Linked DNA regions of Caenorhabditis elegans. The protein of the gene in region 1 purifies or fractionates together with the protein of each later gene. This does not show direct contact. Each region holds a gene or a part of one and is shown on either strand. Other genes may lie near its edges.

What was found.
Region 2: the proteins of gst-1 (region 1) and ndk-1 fractionate together in Caenorhabditis elegans (co-fractionation; one large-scale study listed by BioGRID). This does not show direct contact.
Region 3: the proteins of gst-1 (region 1) and dbd-2 fractionate together in Caenorhabditis elegans (co-fractionation; one large-scale study listed by BioGRID). This does not show direct contact.
Region 4: the proteins of gst-1 (region 1) and fah-1 fractionate together in Caenorhabditis elegans (co-fractionation; one large-scale study listed by BioGRID). This does not show direct contact.

The regions. Positions count from the first base shown.
Region 1 is NC_003281.10:9,055,684-9,061,701, reverse strand, and holds gst-1 (Glutathione S-transferase P), read right to left. Parts: upstream 2,372-6,018; 5' UTR 2,346-2,371; coding exon 2,211-2,345; intron 2,157-2,210; coding exon 2,069-2,156; intron 2,021-2,068; coding exon 1,617-2,020; 3' UTR 1,521-1,616; downstream 1-1,520. Other genes in the region: lin-12 (lin-12/Notch intracellular domain), read left to right, coding at 1-132, 443-790, 1,178-1,300; cls-2 (TOG domain-containing protein), read right to left, coding at 3,076-3,258, 3,310-3,438, 3,481-3,921, 4,147-4,530, 4,575-4,958, 5,006-5,661, 5,707-6,018. UniProt on the Caenorhabditis elegans protein: Conjugation of reduced glutathione to a wide number of exogenous and endogenous hydrophobic electrophiles. Prevents dopaminergic CEP neuron degeneration in response to Mn(2+).
Region 2 is NC_003279.8:10,551,533-10,557,207, reverse strand, and holds ndk-1 (Nucleoside diphosphate kinase), read left to right. Parts: upstream 1-3,294; 5' UTR 3,295-3,413; coding exon 3,414-3,466; intron 3,467-3,547; coding exon 3,548-3,641; intron 3,642-3,699; coding exon 3,700-4,014; 3' UTR 4,015-4,089; downstream 4,090-5,675. Other genes in the region: cert-1 (Ceramide transfer protein), read right to left, coding at 1-340, 389-486, 692-847, 1,230-1,418, 1,465-1,779, 2,148-2,267, 2,318-2,483, 2,558-2,571; F25H2.4 (MPN domain-containing protein), read right to left, coding at 4,283-4,451, 4,502-4,800, 5,107-5,229.
Region 3 is NC_003280.10:4,559,861-4,565,638, forward strand, and holds dbd-2 (DB domain-containing protein), read left to right. Parts: upstream 1-3,089; 5' UTR 3,090-3,090; coding exon 3,091-3,243; intron 3,244-3,332; coding exon 3,333-3,590; 3' UTR 3,591-3,600; downstream 3,601-5,778. Other genes in the region: M03A1.8 (ascorbate ferrireductase (transmembrane)), read left to right, coding at 547-738, 896-1,036, 1,080-1,507, 1,563-1,642, 1,687-1,850, 2,466-2,609.
Region 4 is NC_003284.9:6,444,916-6,452,254, reverse strand, and holds fah-1 (Fumarylacetoacetase), read left to right. Parts: upstream 1-3,338; 5' UTR 3,339-3,346; coding exon 3,347-3,430; intron 3,431-3,482; coding exon 3,483-3,709; intron 3,710-4,202; coding exon 4,203-4,447; intron 4,448-4,493; coding exon 4,494-4,649; intron 4,650-4,774; coding exon 4,775-5,028; intron 5,029-5,132; coding exon 5,133-5,423; 3' UTR 5,424-5,509; downstream 5,510-7,339. Other genes in the region: Zinc metalloproteinase nas-33, read left to right, coding at 3-156, 203-291, 341-444; K10C2.6 (Serpentine Receptor, class BC (Class B-like)), read right to left, coding at 473-814; grl-6 (Ground-like domain-containing protein), read left to right, coding at 1,316-1,345, 1,394-1,551, 1,598-1,826, 1,871-1,993, 2,037-2,219; asp-14 (Peptidase A1 domain-containing protein), read left to right, coding at 5,649-5,745, 6,561-6,689, 6,955-7,091, 7,138-7,339. UniProt on the Caenorhabditis elegans protein: Fumarylacetoacetase involved in the tyrosine degradation pathway.

The DNA.
Region 1 (6,018 bases):
AAAGGATCCAATAAGGATAAGCAAGATGAAGATGGAAAGACGCCGATTATGTTAGCTGCACAGGAAGGACGTATTGAAGTTGTGATGTATTTGATTCAGCAAGGGGCTAGTGTTGAAGCGGTTGATGCTACGGTGAGTATTGTTTTTGGTATTCTACCGAATTTAAAGGCGAAAAGGGAATATCTATCAGAAAACTAGCTTGACGAACTCCTCGTCAAGCTCCACGTCGGATAGTTTTTTTCTGAGGTTCAATTTTGAATTTTTTCGCTACAGTAACCCTTGAAACTTTCGTGGTGAAACCCATGTTTTAAACGCTTTTTAGAGGTAGAATTTGACAGAGAACTCGAATTTAATACTTATTTCGTGGTTGAAAAATGCTTGCGCCTATAAATTACGCGTTTCGAAGTATATAAAAAATCAATTTAATCTAAAAATTTTCCAGGATCATACGGCTCGTCAACTCGCTCAAGCAAATAACCATCACAATATTGTTGATATTTTTGATAGATGTCGTCCAGAACGAGAATATTCAATGGATCTTCACATCCAACATACCCATCAACCACAACCTTCAAGAAAAGTAACTCGAGCTCCGAAGAAACAGACAAGTCGAAGCAAAAAAGAGTCAGCTTCCAATTCTCGAGACTCAACTCATCTGACACCTCCACCATCGGATGGATCAACGTCAACACCGTCACCACAGCATTTTATGAATACCACTCATACTACACCGACGAGTTTGAACTATTTGAGCCCAGAATATCAAACTGAAGCTGGAAGCTCAGAAGCGGTTAGTTTTAAGCTTCAACTGAACAGACGGGAAACAATGTAATTTTGCAATTAAAAATACGGTACCCGGTCTCGACACGACAAAGTTTTGTTAAATAGAACGTGCGCCTTTTAAGAATACTGTAGTTCGAATCTTGTGTTTTTGCGGATTTTTAAGTCTTTCCAATCTAAATAAGTGTTATGGTTTAAAAGTCTGGACAACAATAAAATCACATAAATGTAACAAGGAAATTCCGCAGCAACAAATGTTTGAAATTACAGTAATCTTTAAAGGCGCACACCTTTTCGCATTCAATAGAAATTTGTCGTGCCAAGACCGTTTTACGCGTATGTGTAATATACAAAGTTCAAATATAACGTACATAAATTAAAATAACGTTACTTTCAGTTCCAACCACAATGTGGAGCATTTGGAAATGGCGAAATGTGGTATACAAGAGCTTCAACATCGTACACCCAAATGCAGAATGAACCAATGACGCGATACTCCGAACCAGCTCATTATTTTTGAATCTTCTGAACAATCGTCATTTATTATTTAAATTCCTTATTTTCTAGAGCTATACGGGTTTCCATCTAAATTTTGCATAAGACTTGATGTTCTTTTTTTTGTTGCATTTCTTGATTGTATATGGGCTTACGGGTTGAAATGTTTTGTTGAATGTTACATTAATAAAAATTAGTGAATAATTTTCCGAGTATTGGCTCCACGAACGACTGAAACGATGTATGGGAAGCAGAGATTCATTGGAAGCTTTAAGGAAGACAATAAATTATATCAAACTGGAATTTTTGATGATTGCAAAATGAGAAAAAATTGAATTAGCTTATTGTTTTCCATTTCCATTTACTGGTGGGTTGATAGCAGCTCTCTTGTTGAGATATGCCTTGATGTTTGGACGCTCAGCGAATCTCTCGTGGAACTTCTTGAGTGCTGGAACACCATCAAGAGCATTTGGTGTGAGAATCAAATGAATGTCGAGCTCCTCGAACAGCACATAATCCGCATAGCTTTCCTTGTCTCCAATAACGTAGTGCTCTCCGTTCTTGTAGGTATGGAAAAGCTTCTCCAGACGAGCGAGCTCTCCTGGAAGAACGTCCTTGATGTACGGAGCCTTGCCGTCTTCGTAGTTTCTGTAGATCATAGTGGTGTACTTGGTGTGCAAATCACGAAGTCCTTCGTAGAACATGTCGATGAAAGTTGTCTCTGTCTCGTTGGAGCCATTGAGCCCTGAAAATTGTTTTATAAGATACCGGAAGAAAACATTTAAATGGTTACCATTAAGACGAGCGAGATGACGGATGATAGCTCCAGATTGAACAATCTCCTCGTCTCCGGATAGAAGACATGGAACCTGGCCGAAGATCTGAAAAATAATCATTTAATAAAAATAAATAAAACTTTGAAAACAATAACTCACCATCTTTGGTTTAATATCAGCCCATTGTTCATAGGTTACACGATGATCCTCGTAGGCAACTTGCTTGTCCGCGAGAAGAAGACGGATTGGCTCAGCGAGTCCGTGGATGTCGAAGTACGTGAGCTTGAGGGTCATATTGAACGAAGTTGAGTGAATACTGACTGAAAACAAACACTTGAAATGTGGAAACTGGTTTTTTTTGTTTTCAAGAGAGAATTAAGAAAAGAAATCGAATGTGAGAAGTGGACAAATAGAACGGCTTTTATAGTTCGTGGAGGTACTAGGGGTGCTAGACGAAACAAGCAAGAGAGAGCACTGGAATGAAAGAGAAAGACAACGTGGCCAGCACGAAAATGATGACAAAAAGTTGTTAAGATGATTACAATTGTTCTGGATGACGTTGAAATGCCAGAGAAGTTTCTAGAAAATTAACAATAGTTTAGTCTTGGCGCCGGTAGCAGATCAGAAAAAACACTGAAACGAGATTACTGTCAACAAAACGTGATGGCTAATTGAATACCGAAAGTTTTTTACCTATTGTTCCAGATATATATTGGCCTGAACGAAAAAACGGTTTTCAACTTATACACAAGAAATAAATTTAAGAAATATTCATATAAAAAATAAATAAGAAAAGAAAATATATAAAAATAAAAATAAGAAATACGGGGGTCGAAAATCATAAGGGACATAAGTCGGGGGAAATTATGCTAAAAGGAGCATAGAGAAAGTGTGCAATACCCGCTCTTGACAAATAAAATTATATTACAAAGTGAAGGGATGAGAGAAAAGGGACGATAAGGTTTTACGGGGGAAATTTGGGATACGAATACGGGGGAATTATGGGCTACATTGCAACGACGAATCATACGTGCGAATGTGAACTGGACGACATTGCCCGATTGACGTAGACTTGGACAAGGTTCAGCTTTCCAGACGACAGATTTTGAAGATGTGGCTCCATTGTCTTCATTCCCAACTTGTTCACCATCGCGACCAGACAGTAGACAGCAGTTTTCCGAACTGCAGACGATGGGGAATCGTAAGACTGCAAAGTAAAAATTTCATTAATGAATTGCGATGTTTGATAAATAGTTACCTTGATCACACATGGCGCCAAATCATCAACCACTGGGCTCAATTCGTCGGCTTGGAGACCTTCAAACAATCTGGTCATCATTTTCAGAACCAAGCTTGCTTTGGGTTCTTGAGCTTTCTCCTGCAAATACTGACAAACAGATTACCTAAATGTAAAAATTCTTGAACTTACCTCATTCAAAATGAGCTGCGAGATGTTAACCACCTTAGCCAGTGGAAGGTGGGTTGCCAGCGTTTTCAAGCAGTCATCAGCGGTCACGTTCATCGTTCCGTCTTGTGAGTTGACAGCAGCATCCAAAACTTTACAGATGGCCATTTCCGTAGAGTCGAACAAGCGCGATGCTTGCGAAGTGCACATCTTTGTCAAAACGCGCAGAGCTACTTTCTTGTTGGCGTCTGATTCGCTTTTGGAGAGCACATCGAAGACAGCGATCAACAGCTTGGCGAAGTTTTGCTCCCAAAGAGTGAATGAGCCTTCACACAACATTGTCTGGATCGACAAAAGTCCTTCGTATTGCTGAGCTCCCATGTCACCAGAGATCTGGGCCAGCTTCGACGCCACGTACTTGCTCTGCTCCGACGTATCGTCAATAAGATGCGTTGTTGAGTTGAGCTGAAAAATAATTTGAAGAAAGAATAGGAGGATGAAACTGACGGTCATTATTGAGCCAAAATGTAGAAATGATTTTTAACGTCTACGAAAAATATACTTTGCTGAACTACGCGCCTTACGTGGCCACTGAAACGAAGAAAGAGGGGGGGGGGGGGGGGGGTTCGAAATCCTCTGACCACTTGTCATTTAAAACCATTTTCTTTTAAATATAATGCTGTTAAATACCTTTAATCGGTCGAATGACTCATTGAAGCTGAGTTCCTCGTCTCTGTGCTGTGAATTCATTTCCGAAGACAGAGGACGAAGTGGTTCCGCATCGACTCGTTTGAAACCCGACGAAATGGCTCTTGTGCTAGGCGATTTTACTGGAGTCATATCAAGATTCCTCGACACGACGAAATCTTCTATCTGCGCAGCTGTAGTAGAAATCGTGGCTCGCACACAGGCCTCTTCAGAAACAGCATCTTGTTGTGGAACGTGTTGATCATGTCCGTGAGACTGAAGAACTTTGTATGCCCAATCGCGATAGTCGGGGTTGAAGTCGTTGAAAAGTGCAGAGAAGTCGGCGTTGTTCAATGCGAAGAGTGAGCAGAGTACTTTCTCGCCATGCTGAAAAATGCATATTGCTAAAATAAAGAGAGAGCTATAATTACCGGGGTGATCAACTGTTCATTCCTCTGATCTGCCATCCACGAAAACATCTTGAGAATGGTGGCCTTCATCTCTTTAGTGTTGAACGACGATCCTCGCTCCATATACTTCCCAAGAAGTTCATTGAGATATTCAAGAAGGACCACGCGACTCTTCGGGGACATTAGATGAATTGGATCGCACACCAGCTCGCATGTTGATTTCAATTGCAGGGTTGGATCAAACGATGACAGAATACAGCTGATGGTTGTGGAAATTTGCTTCTTACTGTTCAACGTCATCTCTGCTCCTTTCTTTGCAAACAGCTTTCCAAGGCCAAGCTTGAGCCAATCACTGAGACGGGGATGATGGGTTTTGACAAACGAACTGATTGATTCCAGCACAATCTGAAATAAAATGTTGCAATAAAAATTATTAAATTAAAATGTTCTACCTGGTTCGTGGATTCTCCGAGCAATCTGTTAAGAACCGCGCCCAGGCTTTTGATTTCGGCGTTGCTGAGATTTGGCTCCGAAACAATGCCTGCAAGCATTTTAATTCCTTCTCGCTTCTCATTTGCAGAGGTCGACGAACAAGCACGAATCACTTCTTCCACTCTGGAAGTATCAAGTGCACTTTTTTGTGGTGTTGCCTTCTGTGGGGTTGGACGTTTTGGCAAGAGGAACTCATCATCATCGTTGCGTGATGGTTGCCTCAAGCTCTCCTTTGCCGTGTTCATTGCCTTCTGCAGTTTCGTAGCTTCCTCGGCTGACAGAGAAGAAACGAACGAGTTAGAACCAAGATTCGACTTGACTCGTTGCATTTCGGCTGGAAATGCCTCTGTGGCGGATGGACGGCGTGGCGGTGATCCATTTCGAGAACCAGGCTGAGACGTTGGGACACTTCCACGAGCACGAAGATTGGAAGAGGTACGAGAACCAAGCGCTCCAACTGTTGGTCTAGCAAACTTCGAACCTCCTGGAGAGGTGTCGATTTTTGAAAGTGTCCTAGTGGTCATCGGGCGAATGTTTGGAGTTCTGGACACAGATGTTGCCATTCGCGTCACCTGCTTTGTATCGATGGCAGAAGCACTTCTTTGAGCAAGAAACTCTGTAAACGAAATAATTGGATTGATATGTTGAACTTTAAACTCACTTGAAGAAATGTTCGGTGCATTTCTGATTCCACCAATACTGCCCGCAGACAATTTCGACCGAAATGGTGCAGTTCCGCGTTCACTATTGATGCTCGTGCTTGATGATGCAGCATCAGAGGCACGCAACATCTTTTGTTTCGATGAGTCGACTGAAGCAAATAGTTTGTCTGCCTCAGTGGAGTGTAGTGCATCGAGCTTGCTGAATGCTTTTCGTCCGGCAACTCTGGTCTCTGGATCAGCATCGCAAATTGCTGCCTTGATCAACTCGCCAATTTGTGGTAGAACTGTCCTCTTGATCTTTTCGTTCCAAT
Region 2 (5,675 bases), on another chromosome or scaffold:
CTTGTGCTCATCAACTCGTCGAATGTGTGAAACGAATAATGATTCTCTCGGTGCAGCAGGCCAAACTGTTTTATGTTTCTGATGTAGAACCACAGAATCCGGTGAAATGTGCTCAACAACGCTCATCGCTTCCAGCGTATGGTCCCATTGCATTTTATACCGTGCATCATAGAAATAATGCATGAATTCCAGTGCAGTGACACCATCAACTGCATGTATCGCCTTTAATGGATCAACAGGAACACCTCCTTCATCTTCAATTTGTCTTGTATACATTCTCATTGGACCGTCTTCAGCGAACAGACTCCATACATTATCCTCAGCACCGGCAAGAGCATATCTAGAAATATTGAGAATTTGAAAATGATTTTTAAAACGATAAACTTACTTGAGCTGTTCTAGAGCGAGCTTATCGATTGTGGTGTAAAGAGAGTGTTCTTGGCTCACGAGGAGGTCGTCATAGTGACCAGTAACTGGGTTTCCTTCCTGCAATAGCACATGTTTTAGTAGAGAAATATGGAAAGTTTGGCAAAAACTCTCGTTTCTGCGAATTTTATTTTAATTAATTTTTTATTTATAGATGTATTTATTTAAAACTTATATTAAAATTAAAAGGCGCGTACACTTCTCGCATTTAATAAAAAAGGCGCTAAAAATCGCAAAATTTTGCATCCTTGTAATATGAGCTTACAATTCTGAAGCTAGTCTTCTTTTTCTCTTCCTCTGGAACAACTATATTTCCATTTTTCTTGTCTTCCACCTCTTCTTGTCTTTTTTCAACGGTATCTCCATTTTTCGAGTCCACATCAAACTCGTCGGCGTCAAAGAACTCATCACAATCACTTGTCTGAATGAGAAATATGCAAATTTGCAAGAATTGTAAATTTTAGAAATTGTCTGGCGTATTTTTTGCGATAGATTCATAAATTTTTGATCCGAAATTGATATAAAAAATGTATTTAGAAAATAATTTCTTTAAACTTTAAATTTTGCAGTAAGTTCTGAAAAATGCTCAATAACAGTGCCAAGCTTTCGTTACACTGATCGGGGAGCAAAATGACTTTGAAGCAAGTATAGAGCATTTTTAGAACATTCTAAAACTTATCTGAGAGTTATTTTTTTACTGAAAAATTGATTTAACATAATCTTATAGATAAGAATTAGGATTTTAAAACTTTTTTGGATTTTCTTTTCTCGAAATTAAATTTACATATTAACAAAAAACTCACCACATCAATATCAGGTCTTGCAATAATCGTAGAAGTTGTCATTGTTGAATTATCGTCAGACATGTATTCTTGTTCAACAATAGATTCACGACGAAGAACAGAAGAAGAAACACTTCTAGTTGCACATAAAGGTTCCCGAAATGGTGGTGGAGTGGATGAAGAAGAAGATGGAATGTTTGGTATTACCACCTGAAAATTATTTGATTTAATTCTCAAACTATCAGCAAATTGTTACTTTAGAAGTCTTGACGAGATCCACGATATGATTAATATTAACAATCAATGCTAAATGTGTTGCTTTTACTGATAGAATCGTGGCTTGTGGGACAATACAACTGGCTCCACCTTGTTCCAGAAGTCTTTCGATTGATGTCATCTGATCCTTGCACATAGTTCGGTATGCTTCGAGTTCGGAGAGTTTCGTGGCAAAAAGCTTCGTTGATTCATTATCATCAGATTTTTGATTATTAGTAGCAAGAACTGAGGAAACCGATGGATTACGGGAATGACTTTTAGTGCTAGTCGAGCTATAATCCGAATCGTTTTGTACCTGAAAATTATTGATTTTCCCATTGAAGTTTTAACTTGATTTCTCTGATTCTAAAAGTAGAATTTCGAAGTGAACGATTTTTTATATTTTATAGCCTCGTACTATTCCCGAACTTTCAATTGACTTTTGTGTGCCACCGTCCGTACTATATATTTACACGGGATGACAAAATCAGGTAAAGATCAACAATGGTGTTTTTGATGTAAAAAGGAACATAAGAGAGGTGTTTGAACTATGATCGGAGCATATTTAAACGAAGAATATACAACTTTTTATCTCGTAATTACTCCGAGAGAATCGCTGGGGAAGTAATTTTTTGAAAAAATTATGTTTTAAAAATACCAAATTCAGATTCAGAAAACACTCACTGTTTCCCGGACAACTGATCGCATCCATAGAAGTTTTGACTGTGAATTCTCTGCTTTCAAATACCAGACAACGTTTTCGCCCATAGATATTGAGAATTCGTTTTCATCAAATTCGTGGGCCTAAATTTTTAAATATACAAGAACTTTCTGAGAAATCAATAAAAGCTCACAGCTATTATTGCACTTTTGAGAAATATGCTTCCTCTGCATCCGTGGGATTTTTCGGCTTTTGACAGATAATAAACAAGATTTCCCTCTGTGATTTCAAAGTATCGATCTTGCCATCCATTCACGTAGTTTGTCCATTTTTTCATCACCCCATTCGTGGGAAGGACACTGGAATGAGATAAATTATATTAGAATTTATCATTGAAACAATTTCTGTAATTTAAAATATCTACAAAACTCACACTTCGCTCTCCATCGGCTTCGTTCGCGAATCAGCAGGTGATAAATGATAAGACAGAGGCTCTCTTTCCGAGAGACTTTCCCCGTTTCGATACAGTTTTGCTCTCACTTTGTTCTGCAAACAAAGCTCACGGTTTGGTAGGCAAACAGTTAAATGGTAGTCGATGGCAGAAAAGAAAGAGTATAGACAACCTTACATTTAGTCGATTCTAAACATAGGGCGTCGAAGGTGGCGAATATGGGAGAACCGGTTTCCTTGTACTGCAAATAGTTTTGTGAAGTAGTGTCTGAAACGAAAAAAGAAATTTGCGGAGCCAGGTCATCAAGCATGAAATAAAGTTCGACGCGTAACGAGGCACAATAGTTTAATGGGAATATGCAGAGCGTTTGTGCTTGTTGCATGGAGACACGAAAAGCAGACATAAGTCATAGAACTTGAGACAAAGTGTAATAAACTATTTATGTCACACGCGTTTTTTCAGATATCAAATGCAGCGATTCACTTCTCAATGTGTTTTGACGTTACAGGTGACGTTAAATTCCGATTTTTGTTCAATAATCCCGATGAAATTTCATATGAAGAAAACCAGTTTGACAGAACATAATTCTCGCAAAAGGTTCAATTGGTGTCCAAAAAAATTGGTCGAAAACAGTGGTCAGTAAAGGCGCTCCATTGCAATTCTGGCACAAAGCCAAGAATGCTGCGAGGTCGGGTCTCGCCACGTGCTGAAGTACGGTTACACTCGTTTCATTTGTGTCGGAGTTGATTGAATGGGCGCCGGCGGGTTATTCTTTTCACTTGCGTTCGTCGCTGTCGCCTGTGCTGTTGACACCTGTTCCAAGTTGGATTGTCCGAAAATGAGCAACACTGAGAGAACCTTCATCGCCATCAAGCCTGATGGAGTCCACCGGTTAGTTATCTTTGAAGAAACTTATTCTAGCATCCTCAATGGATTTTAGGATTTTCAAAATCCTAATTTTTTAAATTTCAGTGGTCTCGTCGGAAAGATCATCGCTCGTTTTGAAGAGCGCGGATACAAGCTTGTTGCTCTCAAGCAGATGACCGCCTCCAAGGCCCATCTTGAGGTACGTTTTCACGAAATTACAAAATTTTAGGCCCAACCAGTTAAATTATTATTTTTAGGTTCACTACCAAGACCTCAAGGACAAACCATTCTTCCCATCCCTCATCGAGTACATGAGCTCTGGACCAGTCGTCGCCATGGTCTGGCAAGGACTTGACGTCGTCAAGCAAGGACGTTCCATGCTCGGAGCTACCAACCCACTCGCTTCCGCCCCAGGAACCATCCGCGGAGACTTCTGCATCCAAACCGGACGCAATATCTGCCACGGATCCGATGCCGTTGACTCTGCCAACCGCGAGATTGCTCACTGGTTCAAGCAGGAGGAGATCAACGACTACGCCAGCCCATTCATCAACTCATGGGTCTACGAATAAACTGATTGCTTATGTCTCCCGGTGTTTTCACCGTTTTCGTATCTCTGCTGAATGTTGATAAAGTATTGCTTCCCACCTAAAACATCGTTTTTGTTGACATCTATTCCTGCGCATTCTCTAATGCGTTTTCATGGCAACCAATCCTACACGACTCAGCTGTCATCAAATCTTTTATTCAACCCGAAAACGGAAGGGGATTAAACATATAATATATTCAGATGACTGCAATAAGTTATGAAAACACGAATTAGGATAATAATTTCAGCTTTTAAGCTCTGAATTCCGCCACTTGCACGAGTTTGTTGCTCAGATTTGTGTTATAGAAGTCGAACTCGGGATTGTCCAAATGGTTTTCGAAATCGGAAAGCTCTCGGTACAACTTCTTCTGAATAACAGCTTGAAGGCCACGCAAGAAGTTGGAACCTTGGAAAATCGTTCTGAAATGAATATACTAAATGAATATATAACATCAAATGTTTTTTCCTACTTCGTTTCTTTCCAACTATCTCCATCTTTTTCATATGCCACGAGGCGGTCTTGTTCACAATCTGACACCAGTCTTTCGTTCATCACTTGTACGAGAATCGCTGCCGAAGAGGTAACAGAAGATATTCTGTCGGCGAGTCGAGTGGCATAAACGTTGAGAGAAGTGTCCGATGGAGTTGCATTTGAGAAATAGACGCCGACGAGGGAGGCACCAAACTTTCCATGGACGAGGGCTGTGGCAAGTTCCAGAGGAGGTGCGAGTGGAGTGGATTCATGGCAAAGAGGAACACAACTTGTTACCTGGAAAATAAATTATCAGATAGGATGGCAAATTCATTAAATTAAAACATTTCCCTGACTCAGAAATCTAGTATCGCATAACTCTTCTCAAAACGTAGAAAAGTATTTTTTATGCTCTCTTCAGCAACTGTTCATCATTTTGAGGTGGAGAGCGTAATTATTTTTTCTTGCTTTCAGCTTAGCAATTCTAATATATCGATAATTGGTATTAAAGACGACTGTCTTTGGAGAAAATAAGCGTACCGACATGACGATCAACTAATTTAAAATGTTCGCATTTAATGAATTAAACAAATAAAATTGTACCGTGACTTTGTCTCCTTTCTTGTTTCCAATCAGCAGTCCAAAAACACCCTTTGCCGGGTATTTCAGGCAGTGAAGGATGATTGTCGAGTAGGGGAGAGCCTGTGTTTCGACTTGATGCTTCATCTGCAAATTACTTGAATTTTAGCGAATTTTGTTTATTATTTGAAATCATCTAACAAATTTTAGGTATTCAGGATTGTATTGAACAATAAAAGAAGTTGAATACAGCGGTTTAATGAAAATAAATTAAGAAAAACAGTTATAACGTTGTTCTCTCTCGAAAATCGTCTTTAAAATTGAGTTATATTACATGAATAGATTGTTTTAGGAATAAATAAAATTAAGAAACATTTTAAACTGGAATCAAACCATTAAAACAATAAAAGAATCTCGAACACTCAACAAATATAAACTAAAAATCGTTAATTCCAAAGAGAGCATTTGTATTCTCAATGGAGCGCACTTGCGCAGAAAATTTATCAAATAAAAAAAAGGAGGGAAACAAGAAATTTCAAATGATTTTGATGTTTTTAAAGTTTAATTCGGATAATAATCATAAAATTAGGGAA
Region 3 (5,778 bases), on another chromosome or scaffold:
TGGAGCAATTGGGTGCGGTACTAATAGAAAACATGCGGTAAGTTTTTTTTTTGGTAATTAGTATGAATATCTTCAGTCAAATTTTTTTTTAACATTCTAAATTTTCATAAATTATTTCAAAAAATTAACAAAATATATATGAAAACTGAAGTCTCTAGAAAAACTTAAAAATAACCAGACATTGCAAACTCGTGGTCAAAGTTTATTTATGTTAAAAAGTTATTATTAATTTTCATCGCTGTGGTAACCATTGGTTACCAAGAACATGACATCATTTTATTAATGTTTAAAAAACACGTCGATCCGCCTATTTTGATTTTTACCAAAAACTGATTTTCGTAATACCTCCAATAAGTCCCCCCAAAAAATGTACAAGATCAGTGAGATAAGATCAGTGTCACAAACTCTGCGTCTCTTCCTAATCCACCACATTCCAGTTGCTCTCTTCTCCCTTTTGCGTCCGCTGGTCACTTGAAATACCAGTTCGATGATGACATTTCAAATGCCTATTTATACAAAAAGGAGAAAACACAAAGGTAGTGCAAAATGTATCACTACTCTACTCTTTTTCTACTTGCCAGTGGTTTTGTATTTTCTACTGCAAAATGCCCGGCGAATTCATTTTGTTTTTCACCAAGTCGTGTGAATATCACAGTTACTTGCAATAAAAACGATGGATTCATGAGTTTGAAATGGAAAACAGAGGAAAAAAGGTCAGCAGTGAAGATATACAATGGGGTGAGATAATTTATCAACTTTGATTCCTCATTATTTTGGTTTATTTTGGAGATATCGATAAATGTTCAACTACAAACCTACAGAAAATATTTAACGAATCAGTTCAAGACAACTGAGATATGAGATGCCTCTTCTATTGATTTCGTTTTTTTTGCAGGTGAACCTTCTTGAATTTGTTTGCGGATTTCCCATTGGAAGCTCAAATATTGATGTCAAAACCTACAAACTAGAAACTTTGAAATCTGAAAATTTAACGTCGTGTGAGATTGATTTTTATCCGGGGGATGTTCTATTGATGGTAGGTGCCAGAAATATATCCTGTAATAGTTTTAATTTTTCAGAGTGAATCTTCAAGCTTAAAATGGTCCAACGAAAAGTCCGAATTCTTCAATTTCCATGAAATTTGCAATCCGAAAATTGAAGGTCTGAGTAAAGAATTCAAACGATTACTTGTAAAATTACATGCAATTCTAATGATTCTCGGATGGCTTTTCTTTGTTCCAACGGGATTTTTATTTGCAAGATATGGACGGCAAGTGTTCAAAAATCATACAATTTACGGAATGTTCGTATGGTTTCAAATTCATCGAGCCTCAACTTTTATTGGTGTTTGTTGTATTGTAACCTCGATTTTGTGCATTTTAATTTCAACAAATTGGACCTGGAAAGGTACTGGATCTGAAGCATGGTACTGGACACAATGGCACACGGATTTTGGAACGATTTCTACTATTCTGGCATTCTCCCAGCCGTTGAATAGTTTGTTGAGGTAGATTTATTTTTGTAAAAAAATAGCAAAATTTTATACTTTTTATTTATTCCAGATGCCCACCTTCCAACTCACAACGTTCAATTTTTAATTGGGCTCATCGAATTGTTGGCCTTCTCTCCTACACTTTTGCTGGTAAGTTTCCATGACTAGAATTCAAACTTTTTATACAAATTAAGTGGCCGCAATCTACGTGGCTGCCGCCAATTATCGAAAGACATGGTCAGAGCCAACAATGGAAATTGTGCTGACCAGTGTGCCGACCATTTTGTGTATCGCCACAGGATTCGTAGTTTTGTATTTGGAAAGCGAGCAGAGAAATGGGTATAGGGAAGTTGAAATGGTAAGATTTTTCAATTTGCATTTAAAGTTCTAAAGTTGGAATATCCTATGCAATAAGAACATTTCTACGAAGATCATACCATATCATGTTGCGAATCACATGAACCAGCAGTCCGTATGTAGTTTACTCCTACGGGCAATATAGGCCAAATCACTGGAGATTAAATGATTAATTTATTTTTATTTCAATTATTGGCAACAAAAATTGATAATTTAGTATTAAAGAAGTGTGGAAAAGGGGGAAAAGTTTCTAAAAAAGTTAGTGATCCAAAACATAATATCTCATTTGTAAAACTAATAGTTTCGGTAAACAGTGAGAAAAATGAGTTTAAAAATGTTTTAAACTTGAATTCCCGCGCACAAGAAGTTTGAATATTTTTTGAGAATTTTTTTCTTAATTTTCAGAATTTTGTTGAATGTTCAAAGCACCTGAATTGCAATTTTTTGCATCAAATTTGAGAAAAAAAACTAGAATTTTTAAGGTAAAAAGAACATGTTTTATTAAAATTTTCAAGCAAAAAATTCTACAAAAATTAAGACTAACTTTAACGTCACAAATTTTTCAATTCAACATTTGTAACACAAAAAAATGTTCCACAAAAGACACAACTTACAGATCGAAAAATCCGAAAAAAATTCCAAAAAACCGGAGCGTCTTCAACTTATCCAAATCTCATGGATGTTCGCCGTTGTTGGAATCTGCTTCGGTGTCGCCATTTCATTATCTCTTCTGATTGCAAATGGATTCAAAAATGACTAATCACCTCTTTTTCAATGACAACTAATTCTCGTACCAACCACTTTTCTCTTTCTGACCTGACCTGCAATAATCCATTAAACGGCTGTGTGTGTCCTCTTTCTCACTTTATCACCAACTATCTCTTCTAGAAAATAAATATATATTTTCTATATGTTTCTTCTTATAACAGAGTCTATACATTATTACATGCAATTCATCTTTCGCAACATTGACCGGCCTCAAAAAATCCGATAAAAGTACAATGGTGACTGGTGTTCTAGGAAATAGGATTGTTATGATAGGGAGTGATATCTTATCTCTTTTATTATCACAGCCTGACCTCAATATGTCAGAGGTGGAGTCTTCCGGGTGACCCTTTAAATAGTCCGGGCCTTGACACCGATAGGCTGTGTATTCTTCATTTCTTCGATCTTCCACCTGTTGCAGTTTTCTTTTATTTTTCAAAGTTAACATATCTATATTCATAGTAATTAATTCTAGAATGAACCGCTTCGCAATTCTCCTGGCTCTCCCACTTCTTGCTCTTGCTGCTACTCCAAATGAGAAGCTGAAGCTATGCTGTGCCACGTTGAAGGATGCCGATAAGGAGTGCGTCGATCGATTCTGTGACTTCAATGCTCTTTCTCAAGCTAACGTAAGTTGTCTCCTGAGAGCTAGTTGCGCGTCAATTCTGATGTATTTAGTCAGCTTACTAGAAATAACCATTACACGTTCTTATTTCAGATTCTGAACTTCATGTCGACTTGCGGAGAGCGTGGACCAACTGTCGGAGAAATGTGGGATTGTGCTTCCCTCCGTCACAACCACGAGGACTGCTGCAAGAAGGCCGGTGTCTCTGGAGAATGCCTCAAGTACTGTACCGCTCATAAGGGAGCTCCATCCAACTATTTGGACTATGCTTTCTGTACCGAGAACTTCAACGAGATCCGTGATTGCTTCTACAACCATTTGGACAAGAACGAGCCATTCAAGAAGCTCTAAATGGAAATATAATAATTGAAATTTTCTTTATATTATGAAACGTGTATTTAATAATATGGAATAAAGATCAACTTGATGATAAAGTTAACAGTTTTCCAAGCTATTTTGTCTTTTGATTGGCTTGTCCGGAGTTCTGGAATTGCCAGTTCAAAGGCACATGATGTTTTTCCAAGTGGGTCTCGCCACGATCTCAGACATAATTGTCGTTACAGGGCCCAGTTTTCCAGGTGAAATAGAAAATATAGTTTATGAAATTTCAAACTCAAAATTTCCGGTAGAAAGCCCGGATTTAGGACCTAGTTCCATGTTTCCGCAATGTCCTACAAAATTCCCCCATTTTCCAAAACTACAGTAATCATACAGTACTCAATCACTACTTTACCCAAGCTACAGCAACTAACAACATAACTTTCCCAAGTTTCACGTCTCGCCTTCTTTCTCGTATTGTTTTGTTTTGACAATTTGAAGGAAAAAGCTGTTGAGTCGAGTGTTTGTCGGGGCGGCTCACACTGTAGTACAATAAGGCTTCACATGCGCCTACATAGGTAATCGCGTGCACTTAAAACGGAAAGTTGCTCACGGAGAATAAGAGAGATAGAGGCTCGGCTGTTTGTGTTTGATCTACATCTATGAACCTCAAGATGGGCATAACTTCAATATGTTTAGTTTAAAAATTTAACAAAATTAGGTTCGAACTTACTTTTGGACTATCAAATCAGACCTTTGCCATTTTAAGAAAACTGTTTCAATATGTTGAAATATATTTGAAATATATTTTTAAAATATTTGAAAATTGAAATATTTTTGAAATATATTTGTTTCGCAGTTTTCCAAAATTGTCTGAAATATTTTTAAAATCCCTGCCTTTTTTGACTCTGCTTCCAGAAAAGTCTATGAGGAAATTTTGTTAGTAAAAGCTCGTAAATATGTATTTCAACCTACCTCTGACTCAGAACTACTCGGAAGTATGACCCGAATGAGTCAGGAGCTTAAACTTTCACTTTCTTAAGAATCCCTCGAACGATAACCAATTATTTTTCTTCGTCGAAAATTTTAAATATTCTCAAGAAATTAAAACGTGGAGGCCTTCATCAGAAGAAGAAGCACGCAACGCCTTCATTCGAATTTTATTACCAGTTCTCTGTTTCTCCCATATGTTACAAGTTGTGCAGATGTGTGTGCGCACGTTTGGCCCCTAGTAAAATGGTCGTAAAACTACGAAGGAGCAGACGGAAGCTCTCCTGCTGCTGTTGAAGATGATGACGTGGCACTTTAATTTACAATATTGTGTGCTCAGGAGGCTTCATGTTTGACAAGTACAACATCAGCACACTCAAGTTTACCCCATTTCTTTTCAAATGTTTTTGTTGTTTTGATTGGAAATGTCAAAATGGTGATTGGATTTTGGTTTCCAAAAAATATTTGGAATGCGATTTGCTCCATCAAATTATTCAAACCAAAGTGTTTTTAATTATTTTTTTGGTCAAAAATCTATTTTGGACAGCTTTTGGCACTTAAATCGTGTAAACTTCTAACACTAAAAAAAGTTTCTGGAGGTGAAATTGAACGGAAAATGGGAATTGAACCCCAGCCCTCTCCCATGCTAAGGGAGCGCTCTACCACTGAGCTATACCCCCGACGAGTGATTCGGGTGATCAGGGCAAAAAATTTTTCGGTGGCTTATCACTGATACAACCAGATTATGTACCTGGTTGCAGAAGAAAAATATGTACAAGGTCTAAAAAAGTTGAGAAGCATACTACAGTATTCTTTAAAGGCGCACACTTTTCTGCACCCTATTAAAATTTTTCATTCGTCTCAAGACCATGTACCGTAGTTTTGCGTAAAAATTACATGATTTTGCGGCCATCGCAGTTTCTTCTTATCAGTGATAAGCTATCAAAAAAATTTTTGCCCTGGCCACCCGAATCACTCGTCGGGGGTATAGCTCAGTGGTAGAGCGCTCCCTTAGCATGGGAGAGGGCTGGGGTTCAATTCCCCATACCTCCAAGAATTTTTTAGCGTTTGGTCACAAAACTTTCTTATTTTGTCTAGCGTTCACTAGAAAAAAAGAAAGTGCCGAAAAAACTTCTATCATCAAAATTGTAAACCGTTTTCTTAAACTTTCACCCACCATTAAACCGTAAATCTTTGTTATTTTTTTCCTCTAAAACAATCAACCAGTCAG
Region 4 (7,339 bases), on another chromosome or scaffold:
AGATGGTACAGCTCCCACTCAAAGACCACCCCCTGTCAGGGTTGCTGCTCCAAGAAGTTATTCTTTACTGTGGTCCGGTTGGACAAGATGCTCTGAAAATTGTGGTTCTTGTGGTACTCAGTATAGAGAAAGATGTACAAGTACAACGAATTGCTTGTAAGCTTTAAAAAGTCCTAATTAATTTAACAGTTTTTTTTTCCAGAAGATCAGCTAAACAAACAAGAGTCTGTAATACTCAGCCATGTGCACAAGGAACCACCAGGGGAAAACGCAGTGTTCTTCAAACTCAGAGTAAGAACTAGGAACTGAAAAATTTAAATTGATAACTTCCGAAATTCAGTCTCACATCGTGTAAAACGTCTCAATGGGTGGTGTTGTGCCAGATTTGTTCTTTCAAGAGGTGTCTGTGTTCCAGTGAGAACAGGGGTGACGCATCCGAACTGAATAAGAAAAATAGAAGGAGAAGCGGAATCTAGTTTGAATCATAACATCTATGACCTTCAGATAACTGTCTAAGGATCATCCTTAAAGGATGTGCAAATAAAGTGAATTTGAATGCTTCGCTCTTCAGAGAATTTTCGAATTGAAACCAAAATACAAAGTTCGCAAAGGTCGAATAAAAAATGTTCAAAATTATCTTTGAGAATATGGAACACAGTTTTATAGACGCAACAGTTAATATTTCCGAAAAAGACACCGAATTTGTAAAATTCAAAAAAATTTCAAAATTCTTATGATATGTTTCGAAAAAGAAATATGGAAATTCGGGACTAAAAGAAATGCAAAGATAATTGGAAACAAAAAAGATGTACATGTTCACAGAAAAATCATCACGTTTTTTTTTTCAAATAAGAAATGTATCTTAAACCAAATGTTTTAATTCACACAACAGAGCCCGACGGGTGGAACATACTTTTAACCACAAACAGTTTGTGGCTAAAACTGTGCTGATTGGAAAAACTATTAATGAATCACTTTCAAATTTGCCCGCACTAATATAATTGTCAATTGCAAAAATGCTCGTTTTACATCATCGTGATTTTGTTTTAAAAAACTTAACGTCGTACTTTTTTAAAGAATGGTAATATTCAACCTTCAACTTTTTGCATTTTAATAATTCTTTCCATTTTTCCCGTACTTGAAACATTGAGAACACAATATGATTCAATATCGAAAAGCTTCTAAAGGTCACAGCATCTTCTTGAAACTCAGAATTTCCCCCAAAAAACCAGTTGCACGTGCGAAGTAGTATAAATATCCGCGTGTGTGGTCGGAAACCATAGCTTCTTCCACTTCCATTCCATATTTGCGCAATATGAGTACTTTGTCGGTTGCAGTTTTCTTGGTAAGCAATGAATCATCGAATATCTCTTTTACTCATTCGGATTTTCAGATTTCATTTCATTTTGCCTTTGCTCAGTACCCATTTGGTAGAGGAGGGTGTGGAGGATGCCCGACTCCAATGTGCCAACCAAGAATGCCATGTGCTGCACCGATGCCAATGCCGATGCCAATGCCAGTCTGTCCTCCACCTCCACCATGCCCGGCTCAGTAAGTTTCAGCAATAAACCTAGAATATTCACATGCTTGTTCACAGATTCTGTCCACCACCACCAATTTGTCCTCCGCCTCCACCACCGCCAATGCCATGCCCTCCACCACCTCCACCAATGCCGAGACCATCTTGCCCGTGTATGATGCAACGACCATCGTTCTACCCATCATATGTTCCCCAGTACTATCAGCCAATGATGCCTCAGCCAATGCCAACAGCTGGAGGATGTGGAGGTGGTGCAGTTGTACCATCAGTCAGAATTCCAGCTCAGGTTGGTAGATTTTTGAAAGAACCTTTAAGAAAATATCATTTCAGAACGATTGTTGCTGTGGCTGCTCATCGCCATGCAAGTACAAAAGTGTGAGACGCGCCGCATTTGCAGCCAAAACAATCGACCCTTCGTGTAACAGTTCCGAACTGAAAAACATTATCCTTGATGTGAGTACACTCGTTTTGCACGTCAAGCCTACTCTCTTTTCAGAATATTAGCGAAGATGCAAGTGAATCAAAGAGGAACATTCAGAAAATTGCCGAAGAAACACTAGGCCATGAGGTGAACGTTATTTGTGGTACAGGAGAATTCAGTTACATAGCTCATACCGATACATTCTGCCAAGCATTTAAGGAAGATGTCACCTGTTATGCATTCAAACCATTGCAATAAACTTATTTGGTGTTTTTTTTTTGTCTGTATTTCCTGCTTTTTCTGTCCACTACTGGCTTCAATAAATTAATTTTTTGAAAGTTTTTAATTCAATTTGATTTCGTAAAAGCAAAATCCAACAAGATATAAAAAGTTTGAAACTAACACTTATACTCAACGACAGTAGAGAAAGTGTTAATTCAATAGTTCATCGCTGTTGGTGTTTGTATTTTCAAAATGTTTAACCTTAAAAAATGTTTCTTGTGTATTACAACCCTTTATTATAGAAATAAATTATTTTTATATTTTTTTGACCATTTCACTCGCCGTACCTGTTTATCAATTACCGATAATATTTAACAATACAACTCACCTTTAAGTTACAACTTTTGACCTGCTCAGCAGGCTGTGGTGATCTGAAATCTACAGGTTAAAAACCTACATCCGATTGTGAAACGTTTTCTCTACTCGAAATGGTGGTAAGAGTTTTCTAAGATACAAATTGCTAGAGACCGTTTTTCTTCTGATATAAAAAGCGTTTTAGTAGCAATTTATCTTCATGGAATTGAGATTTCTATATTATAAACATAAGCAACTCTAAAAAACACTAGTTCTCCACTCTTTAAAATCGTCATACTCCTACTTGCTTTTTATTCATGAAACAGTATCATTGCCAATGCAAACAAACAACTATAGAATAATGCCATCCAAACATTCAAGAAAAAATCATCACGTGACTGTTTCGCAATTCAATTTGCATCCAATGTAGTTTTCTCTCTCTTGTCAAAACTTATCTGATATACTCTATTGTTTTATCCAATTGACGTCACTATCATCATCTTATCTTTTCAATTAGATTTGTGAGACCTTATATAGCGGTTTCAGTGGTGCACATCTGTCATTGTCACTGTCTGTGTGCAGTCATTTTTTTTGGTTATCGTTTTGTTTTTATTGGTGGTCGTTTAGTCGTGTATCGACCTTGGCCTATGCGTGTACGACTCCTTTTTGTATTTGTCACTAGCACCCTCTCCAACCTGTATGCTATTTTCTGTTTCAACGCCGCATGCGTGTACAGTTTCGGAGACATAACAGACTGCTGTCTACTCAACTCCATTTTTCAAAACTTGTATTGCTTTGCAGGCTAAATCATGAAATCCTTCGTTTCTGTTCCTCAAAACTCGGATTTCCCAATTCAAAACTTACCGTATGGTGTTTTCTCAACAAAGGCTGACGTAAGTGTATAAATAATTATTTCTAAAGCAAAATTAAACTAAATATTTTCAGTCTTCCCGCCACATTGGAGTTGCAATTGGAGATCAAATCCTCAACTTGGCAGAAATTGCCAATCTTTTTGACGGACCTCAATTGAAGGCACATCAGGATGTTTTCAAGCAGAGCACATTGAACGCGTTCATGGCACTGCCACGTCCAGCCTGGTTGGAAGCTCGTGCAAGAATCCAACAACTGCTCTCAGAGGATTGTGCTGTTCTTAGGGATAACGCTCATTTGAGGTGAATAAGTTGGCAAAACAAATTTGAAAAAGTTAAAAAGTAGTACAAAGTGTGTCTGATAATCTACTAACCAAATCTAAACAACTATTTCACAAGTTTTAATTTTTATCGTTAGTTTATAATTGCAAAGTTGAATCAATACTGTGCAGCAAGTTGGCAAGTTGAAATGTATATAGAAGTATGTGAAAATGTTCGGTCAATCTGAAAAAAATTATTTTATTGAGAACGCCTGGAAACCCGTCAAAGTTTTTGAAATACTTCATTTGACTTTAAATATATCGTTAAACTTTGTTGGCGACTTGTAGGCATTATTTTTAAAAAAATCTATTTCAAAATCGAGAAAAACCTACATTTTTATATTAATTTTTGATTTATAAATTGAAATCTCATACTGTAATTAGAAGCTTTGTACGTTTTGCGCACAACTTACATATAACTCTGTTTAAAACAACCAAGAAACTTTGTAATAATATTCTTATGTTTTTATTTACAGAAGCCGGGCTCTTGTCGCTCAATCCGATGCTACAATGCACCTTCCAGCTCAAATCGGAGATTACACCGATTTCTACTCCTCCATCCATCACGCCACCAACGTCGGAATCATGTTCCGTGGAAAGGAAAATGCTCTGATGCCAAACTGGAAGTGGCTTCCGGTCGGATACCACGGAAGAGCTTCATCAATCGTTGTATCTGGAACAGACTTGAAAAGACCAGTTGGACAAACTAAGGCCCCAGATGGTAAGATTTAGATTTGCACCAATAATGCAAATGTGTCCGCTTTCAGCTGAGGTTCCATCGTTTGGTCCATCAAAGCTTATGGACTTTGAGCTCGAGATGGCGTTCTTTGTGGGAGGTCCAGAAAATGAATTGGGAACTCGTGTTCCAATCGAGAAGGCTGAGGATCGTATCTTTGGAGTTGTGCTCATGAACGACTGGAGTGGTGAGTAACGATGTTAATTAAATATCAAACAAAAACATTTAAACTCGACATTTTGGTGACAAGAAAATTCAACAGTAGTTATTTTCAAGTTTGCTCCATACTCATCCGAAAAAAAACTTTTCCAGCTCGCGATATCCAAGCTTGGGAATACGTTCCACTCGGCCCATTCCTTGCTAAATCCTTTGCCACAACTGTTTCTCCATGGGTCGTCTCAATTGAAGCTCTTCGTCCATACTTTGTTGAGAATCCAGTACAAGATCCAGTTCCACCAGCATATCTCCATCACGATGACCCATTTACCCTTGACATCAATTTGGCCGTCAGTATCCGTCCAGAAGGAGATGCTGTGGACCATATTGTCTGTAAAACTAACTTCAAGGTATGTTCAAGTTTAGTAGAAACGATATTATCTACACTGTTCACTGTAAATTGGATCATAAACGCTCGTTAAGGTTTTCTCAACTACAATACTGTAATTTCTAGCATTTGTATTGGACTCTAAAACAACAACTTGCTCACCACACCGTCAATGGATGCAACCTCCGCGCTGGAGATCTTTTGGGATCAGGAACTGTATCTGGACCAGAAGAAGGTGCATATGGATCCATGCTCGAGCTTTCGTGGCGCGGAGCCAAAGAAGTTCCAGTTGGCTCAGAAATCCGAAAGTTCTTAAAGGACGGAGATGAGGTCAACCTTTCTGGAGTTTGTGAAAAGAATGGAGTCAGAATTGGTTTCGGAGAGTGCCGCGGAAAAGTCCTGCCAGCCGATATCTAAAATCATCGTAATTAAATCGTTTTGCTTTTTGTTTCATTCTCTCGTTTGTTAGTAGTATCTCGTCGAATAAAGTTCTGAAGCCCACGAAAAGTGATGAAAGTGGAAGTGTGCAGTGTCGAAAATGATAGGGGTTTGTCACGATTTTTTGGTTTCTATGTTATCAGTTCAAAGCATGAGCGAATAAATAGGAGAGCTGGTTGCTTGGAAATCATTCTCAGTTCAATCATGATCAAGACAATCTTGCTTTTGGCCTTTGTGGCCTCGACCTCAGCTTTTGTGATTCCTTTCAAAGTTCATGCTGCAGTTACCAACATTACCAAAGGTGAGTATGAGAATTTACAGATTTGTTTCAGATAAAGTGAAATTTGGTGTTTGTAAATGGAAGCCTTTACAAAATTTAAAATGAACATTTAAGCATTATTTTTGATTTTTTTTTTGAATTATTTTCCGAAGCGTATAAAAATTTCGATCACGTTTGATTGAACATGAACATTTAATGGTACATTAACGTTATATTTTATTCAAAATAGGGATAGACACGTAACTGGGAGTAATAATAGTGGAGAGCGGTAAGTTGTTTTAAGAGCACGTATATATATATCCCGAAGCCACATAAAATGTACAGTGAATGAACAAACATTATTTCCTTTACGACATTGAGTAGAATGTATTTAACTTAGAATAAAGCTTATAACTTACAAACACAATGTTGCGGTTGATTTCCAATTATATATTGGTTGTTTTGAGAATTATGAACTGAAACTTGTGTGGTATGATTTTTCCATCATTTCCAACTATTTGAAAACATTTTATATCAACTTTTAGAAAAAAACTTTTTTTTTTTGATTTTTTTGGAATTTTTAAAAAGGGGTATTTTGGCACTTTCAAAATGTCGTAACTTGATCAAACCTGCTCTGAAGCAGCTAAATTTTTGGAGTGATCATCTGTAACTATTCTCTATCGAATGTATATAGTGGCGTAACGAAGTCCGATAACGAGTTCAGAGCCTTCCCTTGTTAGGAATAATGGTTTTCTAAATCTATTACATTCCACTAGTGAATTGTTTTGTACTGAAAATTACTTTTGGTATATAATACACAAGTTCCTTAGATTTTCAAAACTGAAGTTTAATTCCAGGAGGACAAACTCTGGAGCAAACCTCAACCTTCTTCGTTGCTAACTTGACCATGGGAACACCAGGACAACTTTTCACTGTTGTCATTGACACTTCGACCGCTGACATTGTTATTCCAGATATGAGTTGCAGTGAGTTTCAACCAATCGCTTTCTTGATTGCAATTTGATAGTTTTACGACTTTTAAATGTATAAAACATCTCGAACATAATCACGAAATGATGACAGTTTTTGTCAGCTTTTGCTGACAATTTGCCCTATTATATCGGCACTAAAATCGTTTTTTATGTTGATTATCGGTCAAAGACTATCACTTAGTGCACATAACATTCCTAATTTTGAAAACTCCACACTACTGATAAGAGTGAAAAAGATACAAACTGGAAAATGTTTCAGAGACCGCAAATAATTGCTACAACAAGAGAAGATTCAACCAAGCAAAGTCGTCGTCTTACTATGCATATGGAAATAAGTACACGTACAAGAATAATCTTGGAACTTTCCAAGGATTTGATGCAAAAGACACTGTTGTGGTAATACTTTCAATTTGTTTTTTAAGTCCTAACAATTTTTTTCCAGATCGGAGACCGCAAAACTGATTTGATCACCATTCCAGGCGTGAAGTTTATGCAAGCTACCGACCTCGGACTTTTGATGGATGGATTGGGTGCTGATGGAATTTTGGGATTGGGATTCACAGCCTCATCGCAAATCGGTGGAAACTCACCATTCGTTCAAGGTGTTAACGCTGGAGACATTTCGGGCACATTCTACTCCATCT